Coturnix japonica: one gene and its partners. The protein of the gene in region 1 interacts with the protein of each later gene in a biochemical or structural test. Links are inferred from orthologs where the notes say so. Each region holds a gene or a part of one and is shown on either strand. Other genes may lie near its edges.

Evidence for each region.
Region 2: of the proteins of ASF1A (region 1) and TLK1, one has a biochemical effect on the other in vitro, tested with the Homo sapiens proteins (3 studies listed by BioGRID). The link is inferred for Coturnix japonica from reciprocal best matches to the Homo sapiens genes ASF1A and TLK1.
Region 3: the proteins of ASF1A (region 1) and CHAF1B form a complex in vitro, tested with the Homo sapiens proteins (2 studies listed by BioGRID and IntAct). The link is inferred for Coturnix japonica from reciprocal best matches to the Homo sapiens genes ASF1A and CHAF1B.

Annotation. Positions count from the first base shown.
Region 1 is NC_029518.1:57,099,836-57,103,243, reverse strand, and holds the end of ASF1A (histone chaperone ASF1A), read left to right. Parts: intron 1-722; coding exon 723-899; intron 900-2,108; coding exon 2,109-2,321; 3' UTR 2,322-2,908; downstream 2,909-3,408. UniProt on the Homo sapiens protein: Histone chaperone that facilitates histone deposition and histone exchange and removal during nucleosome assembly and disassembly.
Region 2 is NC_029522.1:16,215,894-16,219,393, reverse strand, and holds part of TLK1 (serine/threonine-protein kinase tousled-like 1), read right to left. Parts: intron 3,172-3,500; coding exon 3,002-3,171; intron 1,743-3,001; coding exon 1,607-1,742; intron 1-1,606. UniProt on the Homo sapiens protein: Rapidly and transiently inhibited by phosphorylation following the generation of DNA double-stranded breaks during S-phase. This is cell cycle checkpoint and ATM-pathway dependent and appears to regulate processes involved in chromatin assembly.
Region 3 is NC_029516.1:96,003,866-96,007,365, forward strand, and holds part of CHAF1B (chromatin assembly factor 1 subunit B), read left to right. Parts: intron 1-350; coding exon 351-454; intron 455-2,083; coding exon 2,084-2,180; intron 2,181-3,500. UniProt on the Homo sapiens protein: Acts as a component of the histone chaperone complex chromatin assembly factor 1 (CAF-1), which assembles histone octamers onto DNA during replication and repair.

The DNA.
Region 1 (3,408 bases):
CTTGGAGGTGTTCAAGACCAGGTTGGACAGGGCCCTGGGCAACCTGATCTAGTAAATGTGTATGTTTGGTGGCCCTGCCAGGCAGGGGGGTTGGAACTACATGATCCTTGAGGTCCCTTCCAACCCGGGTCATTCTGTGATTCTGTGAACTGTAAGCATGTGGAAGCAGGTGAGAGACGCTGTTTCTTCCTTTCCTAGATGTTTGTGACACAGTCCAGCCCTCACTGTAGCCTGTCCTGCTCTTGCTGAAATATAAACTACAATCTGTATTTTTAAGGGTTTAGTCATATTAAAAAAAACGCGTACAGATCAAGTCAACTTAAGAGGTACGGAAAGAAATACTTGTACTAAATTACTAAGGTGGGCTAGAGAATAATGGCACTGTAGAATTAGAGAGGTATTGGCACACTTGTTCAAACAACAGCTCAGCTTAATTATGTATTGAAAAGCAGTTTTGGATCAAAGCTGTCTAATCACCCTGGAGAAATGTCAGCACACAATATTACTCTGTTGTAAGTAATTCTGTCTCTAGAGGATACTGCCCTAAATTCAGGGTTGGTGTTTTTATAAAAGCAGGTCTGCTTTCTGGTTAACTTGGAAGAAACATTTAAATTTACACACAGTCTCTACTCGGGTGCTGGGATGTACTACTTGAGATTGCCCTGCTAGGTAGACGTATGATGTTGATTTTATTTTAATAAGTCTTTCTCTTTCACATCTAGGCTGATGCACCTAACCCAGGGCTTATTCCAGATGCAGATGCAGTAGGTGTAACAGTTGTGCTAATTACATGCACCTATCGAGGTCAAGAATTTATTAGAGTAGGCTACTACGTAAACAACGAATATACGGAAACAGAACTGAGGGAGAATCCACCAGTAAAACCAGACTTTTCTAAGGTAAGGCACGTTCAGTTCTAGTCTATCTATTGTATGCTTAGAAAATATTCCTAGGAAGTAAACTCCAAATATTCCATAAATTACATTGAATAACACAAAAAGACTGGGGGACAAAGTGGAAGTTCTGTGCAGTTGCCCTAAATTTGGTGAACATTTAGAAATCAGTAACAGTTTCTGCTAATTTGAAGCTTTGTTTGGATGTCAGTGTGAGCTTACACTGATGAAATGAAATAGACTGGTTCCCTCTACCTGAATCCCTGTTGACAAAGTGGCCCATTCTTCCAAAAAAAACCAGAAACATGTTTTTTAAGGGACAGGTAATTAGGATCTGAAATTGAAGTGTTAATTCAACACAGTCCCTACACAACTATTCTGATATTCTGTAAAGCAGAAACTGAAGAACAACTTCTCTATGAAAAGAGAGAAGATGGGTAACATGGTAAGAGCAGGCTGGATGACTATTCAATAAATGGACGACACAGAAAAGAAGTTAAAACATAAACTTTAAAAACAGTTACTTTCATGCTAAAAACTGAACCAGGAGTAGAATAAAAATGAGATGTGAAACAGAATTATCTGGAGGAGAAAAGCCAATTAAACATCAAAAACTTGTCAGACCAAGTCGTGTGGAACAGAGCAGCAGTTCTCCTGTGTGGACAAACACATGGGGTTCTGTGCTGTATCCTGGCTTGCTTTAGTGGAAGATCTTGTAGAACTGGGGCTTCCCATTTATGAAAGCTGATGTATACATGTTCATGTCCACAGTGGTCGTGATAAAAATATGGCTATTTCTCAAGTGTACATGAACTAGATATGTTATTCCACTCAGTTCTTCATATATGTTGTAATGACTAGTGCAGATATAATCCCCATAATCTGAAACAGATCTTAAAATGTAACTAAGCTTAAAGTCATATGTAAACTGGTTTTTAAAAGTTGCTAGTGGTTTTCTATGCTAAACTTTATTTTCAGGGATTGGATCAGAAGCCTTGAGTGTACTCTGAATTCACAGTTACTGTTAATTTTTGATCCTTAAACTTATCTGTTCCTTTTTTATTTATTGTATTGTTGAATTTGCAATTACACTAACAAATTATTTTGCACGTATATGGATATGGGAGTAAAGGGGGGAAAAAAAACCACAAATGCATGTGAGTTCTGATTGGAGACATAAACACTGTATAATCTGTTTCTTTTCTTCCCACCCAGCTTCAAAGGAATATTTTGGCATCTAATCCCAGAGTCACAAGATTTCACATTAACTGGGAGGACAACACTGAAAAACTGGAAGACGCAGAGAGCAGTAACCCAAATCTACAGTCACTGCTTTCGACAGATGCGTTACCTTCAGCATCAAAGGGATGGTCAACATCAGAAAATTCATTAAATGTTATGTTAGAATCTCATATGGACTGCATGTGACTAACCACCATCGTTTTGGTACTGTACATGTATTAAACTGTAAAAACAACCAGAACTATTTCCCTCAGTTTCCCTAAGTATATAGTTGACAAGCAATGTGAAGAACCTGTTTTAAAACATCCTGTAGAAAGTTTATAAAAAACAAAAAAAACCCTAAAAAACAGTATTTGATCAAATTGTGGAATATAAATACAACTATTTTTAAGTAATTGTTTTTTTTCTCTAACTTGTTACTCTGTTGGTTTAAATTGAACCTTATTAAAGTATGCATTTTCCTTCCCCCTTCCCCTTTACTTTGTAAGCACTGATGAAAGCAAAAAAACTGAAAGTTGAAATATTCAGGCAAAATGAAGCAATAATGCTGTGCTGTGTCCTCTCTGATAGCCAGATGCCAAATATAAAGTGCCCTTTAATTAAACACCTGAAGAGCAAAGCTGTTATTAGAGGAAGTGCTAAGACAAGTGTTTGCTGCTTTAAAAAAAACAAGACCCCAACAGTCCTCTTTCTGTGGAAGCACGGTATAATTTTAAGTGCAAGCTTCTTTTCGTTTCAAGGCACATAGTGGTTACTTAAAGCGTGCAATTTGAGATTTACCATCTGCTGTCTTCAATTTCTTTTTCTTAATCTCCTGCTGCTAGTTAAACAGTGGTTTGTTGAGGACAGTGCTTCGTATGGCTTTAGGAATCCATTTCATGAGAAAACTCTTTGGCAGCCACTGAATGGTATATGTAGGTGGTTGGAAGGATTCAAGCAATTGTTAGAAAACTTAAGTGTCAAAAAGAATAATATGAGCACCCCAAGAAATGGCTCTTCTGTGAGACTGTTACACACTGTTGCTGGTTCATACACTGATTTTTCAAGTATGCTGTGCTCTCGTGTTTTTAATTCGTAATAAGGAGTTTAGATGTTTTCTTTCAGTTTTTTGAACCATCTGGAATTTAAAATATTTCTGTGTTTTGTTACCCTTTAAGGCCACTGGTATAAATTAAGATTCAAACCCTTTTGTGGCAGGCACTACCTACTTGAGAATGCACTGCCTATCTCTAAGGTCTTGCAGTGAGACATTCCCTACCTGAGGCATCCTTGA
Region 2 (3,500 bases), on another chromosome or scaffold:
TGATGGCAACATACAAGAAAGATGGGCTTGAACTAATGCAAGCACACAGAAAAAGTACTGAGATGACACGAAGAATAGAAAGCCACGATGCAGAAAAAAGCCAAACACTATAAAAATACAAGGGAGCAAGTATCAGGAAGGGAAACAACCTATTTCAAAGAAGACAAGTGTTGGTACAGGAGCAAACAAGTACAAAATGGCTACAAGTAAACAGTTCCATAAATTAGAAGATTAAGTTTCTAATGATTATAGAACTGAGGTTATGGAACAAACTTCAAATCAGAGATGAGTGGGTACAAAACACCAAATTTAATACAAATGGCTCTAAGTTTACAGAGCAGATTACATGACCTGAATGCTTGGAAGGACAGGTAACTTGACCCAGTGACTGAAAAAATCTCTCCCAGTACTACATTGCTGAGTTTATGCCATTTTCCTTACACTGACTTATCCTCATCTAAAACTAACTCAAAACTTTCCCTCAGAGAAAGCAAAAATTATAAACATGGAGATTTATCATCAGTGTCTAATGGTCACAAACAACTTTAAATCTGTCAGTTCCCACCACAACTAGTGCATGTGGTGCTTCCAATGAAAGCCAAAGGCCCAAACTTTTTGAATAGTGTTGCTACAATTATATATTTAAACTCATGTTTAAATTGGAGCATTAAGGAAAGCAGCAACAGTCTAACATTTCCAAAATGCTTCAACTTGGATGACTGTCTTTTCACAGGACGTGCACATTTCCATTCACTCAAGAGTATGCGTGAGGCTTTTCTTCCCAGAAATTCTCAAGGAAAAGACTAAATCTATTACATGCAACTTCCAAATACAGGAAAAGTTGAAGAAGAAATCGGAAGGACACTGGCTTCCCCATTTAGAGTTAAGAACCAAAAGCTGAATCCTATTTTGCTATAGGCAGAAGAGGAGAAAAATGAACGGATCAATTCACAAAGTCTGGTCAATATAGTTTTTCTATTCCACTCACCCTGACACAGGTACTGTGCACACAGGCTCAAAGATCTCTTGTATCAACTTGCATCTTTAGGGAACAAATTCTAGAAATGGCTTTTCTGTTAGCAATCAATTGGGTGGTTTTTTTTGTCATCTCGCTCTGTAGGCAGCTTTAAGATTTCAGGTTTTTGGACAAGTATGTGGGTACACACAGAAAACAAGTTACAGCTCCTCAGCTGTCATTAACCTTTAGGATGGAAGAGTAAATACTCTTTTATCCTAAGGACATTACCTTCTGGTAATCCCTGCTCTAAGATTTCCAAGGACTAAGCACCCACACTTAATCATCACAGCTCTGTCAAACATCTTTAACTACCTGCAGCCAAAGATTAAACACCTGCTTCTTCTGGGAAACAATGTTTATAAACCAGAGATTTGCTCCACATTTTATATATATATATTCCTAACTTATTTCAGTTATGGCACTATTCCTGAAATTTCATGAATATCAAGATCCACAATACTGCACAAAAATCTTTGTTTGTCATTCTTGTTAGTATTTTTAATCCTAGCTATCTCAAGGAATTAGCTTTATGAAAGCATTTCAGAAGCCTCAAAAATATCCTAAGAAGAGAATCAAACCAGGCATTACCAGTAAGTTCCTGCTCCCTGTGAAGTTAAATCCATTCCATCCACACCATAGCTATCATCATCCATAATTTTGGACAAGCCAAAATCAGTAATTTTTATTTCTCCACATGCTGTTCCATCTACAAGAAGAATATTACCTAAACAGAGGGGAAAAAATACATTTTTAACTTCAAAAAATACCACCGGAATGCTTCGTTTCCAAAACAAGCCAAAATTTTCAGGAACATTCAAGTTAATGAGGGGTCAATGACATCTTTACATCATTTTTATGAACTTGAGTCTAAAGTATCTGGACTGTGACATTTCAGTGCTGTCTCAGTAGTGATAACGCAGAGTGTTCCTATCATGTTAGATGGCTTCCTCAACTTGGAGCTGTCAGGACAGCAATATAAAACAGTATACCAGCCATAATGAAATTTTGTACTTTTCTGTCCAGAAAGAATTCTAAACTACACATTTCAGGGTCTGCACATGCCAGGAAATAGTGCCAATGCACTGCTGCAGTTCAAAAAAATACAATTCCACACGTTAAAGTTGTGCAATAATTTCATTTTTTAAAATCATTTGACAAGTTTTCTCTAAAAACAGAGCAAAAACTAATGAGACTAAGACTATATGCTTCACAATTTCATAATATTAAATCTGTTATCCTTTAATAGAAATCTGTATGAAAAATTCAGCAAGCAAACAGCCTGGCACTAATGGCTACACTACAAACCCTAGACTTGAAAGTCTAGCAGATTAAAATTCACAAAAAATGTGAAAGACAGAATACAACAAAAGTACATTGTTAAAGACAGTATTCATTGTTATTATTACTAAAAAACTTGACCAGGATTTAGAGAAGAGATCCAATTAACAGTGGTATTTAGACCAGCTTCATGAAGAAAAGCTGAACTGTTTCAGATAAAGATGTAGTAAAATAAGACTATAAACATGCAAAAATGCATAAGGAAAAAAAAATAGATTCAGAATCAGTAAATCATTCTGCAAAGTCCTTGTTGAAAACGTTTATCCTTAGATGCAGAAAGTCATTATTTCAACCCTTTATAGGCTAAGAAATATATAAGGAAAATATTATTTACAAATCAACATTCTATAATGATCAGAGAGGATCTTACATGCTTATACTGTTAAATACTAATGCATCTACAGGCTCTATGACATCTTCCTACAAATACAAACCAAAATAACACAAAGGAGAAAAGTTGTAACAAGTAGTTTTATAAAAAGAGACAGATTATATTAACTGTAAAATTAGGAAAAAAAAGTATCTACCTCTCAGATTAAAATCAATCTGACAAGCCAAAGATAACTGCTATTTTGAGGCATGAATTATAAACAAAATGAGGGTAAAAATGTGATGACATTTTCAATTTTGTTATTTCTCATTTACCTGGTTTAAGATCATAGTGTATAATAGGGGGCTTGATCTCATTGAGATATCGTAGTGCATTTACTATTTGCATTACAATGGACCTAGCTTCCTTCTCTGACATCAATTTATGTTGCTTGAGATAGAAATCCAAGTCATTGCCTTCACAGTATTCTAACACCGTGCAAAACCTACAGCAGAATTTAGAGACATAATTAAATGACATATCCAACTGCAAGATCAAAGTTATGACAATCTAGTTTAATAACAATAACTTTAACAACAGCTGCCTGAATATTAAATTACATGAATGAAATTGTTAATAAAACATGGGGCAAAATGATTAGATTATGAAATCTGACATCAATCAGAACACAAACAACTCACCAAAAAAGAAAACTTATGCACACTGAAAAGGTGTTACAAAATAGTGTTTTCATCACTCTATAGAAGATCTCCTCAACACATGCACACATACTCATATCTATCTGTGACAAACTAGTGGTTGGGGTTTTTTCCT
Region 3 (3,500 bases), on another chromosome or scaffold:
CTTCCAACCCGGGTCATTCTGTGATTCTGTGTGATTCTGTGGTTCTGCAATCTGCGGTAGTTTTTTGTGAGATGTATATTTGTTTTGCTTTCCGTGTAGTATCTGTTAGAAGTTTTGGTCTCTGTCTATGCTGATAAAATCATTCAGAATTACACTTGTTTATGAAACGTAAGTCACTGCTATCCATAACCAATACGTTCCTTGCAACTATTGAGATTTATGTAGGAACAGTTTCAAATGTGTGTGATTTTTTAATTATTATTATATTTTTTTAACCCCAAAACATGTACAGCTGTTACATTTACCTGTACCTGTTTGTCTTAATGATCAGTTCCTTTGCTGGCTTTTAGAGGCCACTTAGAAGACGTGTATGATATTTGTTGGACCTCAGATGGGAATTACATGGCATCTGCCTCCGTAGATAACACGGCTATAATGTGGGATGTCATTAAAGGTAAGTACTGCATTTTATCCATTGTGGTTCCAGCCCTGATGTATCCCTGGGTATTTACCAAAGTAATTAAGCGCATCTTTATTTAGTGAGAGAACAGTCAACTTACTTGGTAGATTTCTGGAATTGTGAGGCATTTAAAGATTTAAAGATACTTTCAGGTCAACAAAGTTTATACACAAGTAATCACTTCAGATTACTTGGAAAGTGAATGTCACCCTTTCTTCCCACCTCCCTCAATCAAGCTCATACCCCACGCTCCCCAACAAGTAAACAAAATTTGACTGGTATCAACGAACTACTTCAGTTAAATCCAGAAGAACTTAGAAGGTGGTTGTTTTGCAAGCTATGACACTTCTTTACACTATGGTCAGCAAAACGCTTTTGTTCATTCTCATCCCTCTGCTGTGGGATTGCTCATATTCTCCTAGAAAAGCCCTGTGGAGGTTTGACCAGTTTAGAATATTTAGGACACTGCAGTTCCCAACTGCGTGTTTATAGCTGCCAATAACCAACTACTTTAGGCTCCTTGACAGGAGTTTAGTATTTTCTGATGAGGCAATGTGATCGTTACTTTCACTTCTAATTTCATGTGGATATAGTTGACTTTCCCTAAGTATAACTTCCATAAGTATAAGCATTCTTGCTGCTTTCTTTTAGCGTGGAATTACTGCTGTGGAGGAAATGTATATCTTCTAGGCAGTATCAGAACTAGTAAGTCAGAAGTAAGAAGCCAGTACTGGAAGATATAGGACTTGTGTTGAAGTTGTTAGCCATGAAAGTAAAGAGTTCAAGGAGAGCTGAGATTGCATAGTTTAAGAACAACAACAAGAAAACAAAACAAAAACCTGAATGAAAGAAAGAATATTAATAAAAGAAATCCATGGGGTTTGTTGAGTACAAAGACAACATCACTGGCTTAAGGAATTGTTTACTGCTGGAAACTCAGAGGACATCCTGGCTGCCCAGGGAGGTGGTGGAGTCTCCTCTGGAGATATCAAGACCCACCTGGACGCCTACTGTGTGACGTGGTGTAGGGAGCCTGCTTTAGCAGGTGGATTGGGCTCAATGATCTTAGAGGTCCTTCCAACCCCTACAATTCTGTGATTCTGTGAGAAGTACCATTGTGTGCTCACTTTCTTCTTATGCTCTTAGGCATCTGCTGTTGGGCACTGTCTGAGAACAGGGACTTTCGGACCAGAAAGACTTACGGAAATTTGCAGCACGACCTCAACTCTTTGTTATCTTTTCAAAGGGCTGCGTAACTGACAGTTAAAATGAAGTATTTTATGAGAATGACATGTACCTGTACGTTGTCCTAGCACCAAAAATTTTGATATGCTTTTAGTTTTGAAATGTGCACATTTGATGCGTGACCCAGGCTGCTTATCTGAGTTAGTTCTCAGGGAACAGCCCTTGAATTGTCATTGCCAATTGTCTGCATCTAGCTGCTTTATTTCTAGAATTTACCTGTTTCTAACATTCTTGTCAGGTGCCACCGGGATAGATTTGCATGTTCAAAAGATTATTTGTTAACATTTTAAAACATTCTACTTTGTTTTATTTCTGAAATGAAGAAATGTTTTTAAAGCATGTTTGAATTGAAAATTTGGGAACTGTTTGTAATTTCAGGACAGAAGATTTCAATATTAAATGAACACAAGAGTTATGTCCAAGGAATAACCTGGGATCCTCTAGGCCAGTACATTGCAACTCTGAGTTGTGATAGGTGAGCTGTTGCTCTAAGTGTTTTGCCTTGATGTTCTTTCTTAAACATACTTATAAGTCGTGCTCAGGTATATGCTATAAATGTGACTTTTGTATGGGTTCGCATTGTTCTGTAAGAAGGTTGAGGTGAAAGCAACATGCTAATTTAGTTAGCTTTATGACTGTGCTAAATGATTCCTGAGGTATGAATGTCTTCTAAATGACAGGTAAGCTTAGGTAACCTTTCAAAGAAAATTGTCTTTAGGCAATAAGTTTTCATGCCATTAGCCATGAGAGATACCAGATGCATCTTAAAGAGACGGCTGCATTCTCTGGTTGTCAGTGAGTTAATAAGTCCATCCTTATCAATACATTTTACAGAAAGATACGAACAGGTTAAGTAATCAGTTCAAGTGTTTTTCCACGGATACCTTTCTTTTGCCCTCTTGCTCCCTCCCATCCCCAGCAGTTTTGTAAGTGATGTCACTGGGAAAGCAAATGCACGCTTCATAAAAGTTGGGCCTTGTCAGAACTTTGCAGTTCAGCTTAAACTGTTAAGGGCATGTGTGCTGCTCTGAAGGGATTGCAGCTGGCTAATAAATGCATGTCGTCTGGCACCCACTGCAAAGAAAATTGCTGTCATAGTGCAGAAGTAGTGTTAAGATTTACAGTAGGCTATGAGAAATGGTGAGTTAATGACTTCTAGTTCATTATGAGCCTCTGTTTTTTGATAATCACTTACGTGAAATTTGCTTGCTTTTATTAAAATGAACAGCAGCAAAACATGAGTAATATTGTGATGCACAAGTTTTTCTTGGAGTCAAGTCACAAACTAGAGCATGAACTAATGTGAGTAGAGGAAGTTCCCTACCTCCTCACGTTTCAGACACTTCTGCAAGGTTGGCAAATATTATCTAGCTCAGCAAGAGTCCAACAAGAGCCAGTGCTGGTGCTTGGACTGGATGTTCAGCAGCCTGGAGTGGGGAGATTTCCTCTACTTTTGCCAGGCCAGCTTAGCTGTGTGGCACCCAGAGCCTGTGGTTCCACAGCTGCCTCAAACCTACTGCTGAATGCCACAGCATCGCCTTCTGTTTTTTCCTCCTTCTTCCATCAGGACTTTGTGGAGCTGATTCAGCAAAGCAAAACTATCTTCTGTTAGGTTAGTCTTCTACCAGCCTAACCAGTGTAACCCAGCAAAAGCTTTAGTGGGTGTCAGAGCTGGCAGAAGGAGCGGGACATTTAGACAAGCCCTTAGAATTGCTTTGGCTACCTGCTGTTTTAGTGAGATGAAGTCAGCAGAGCTCAAACATTCTCCTTTCTGTAACACTCCAGTTTTCATTTA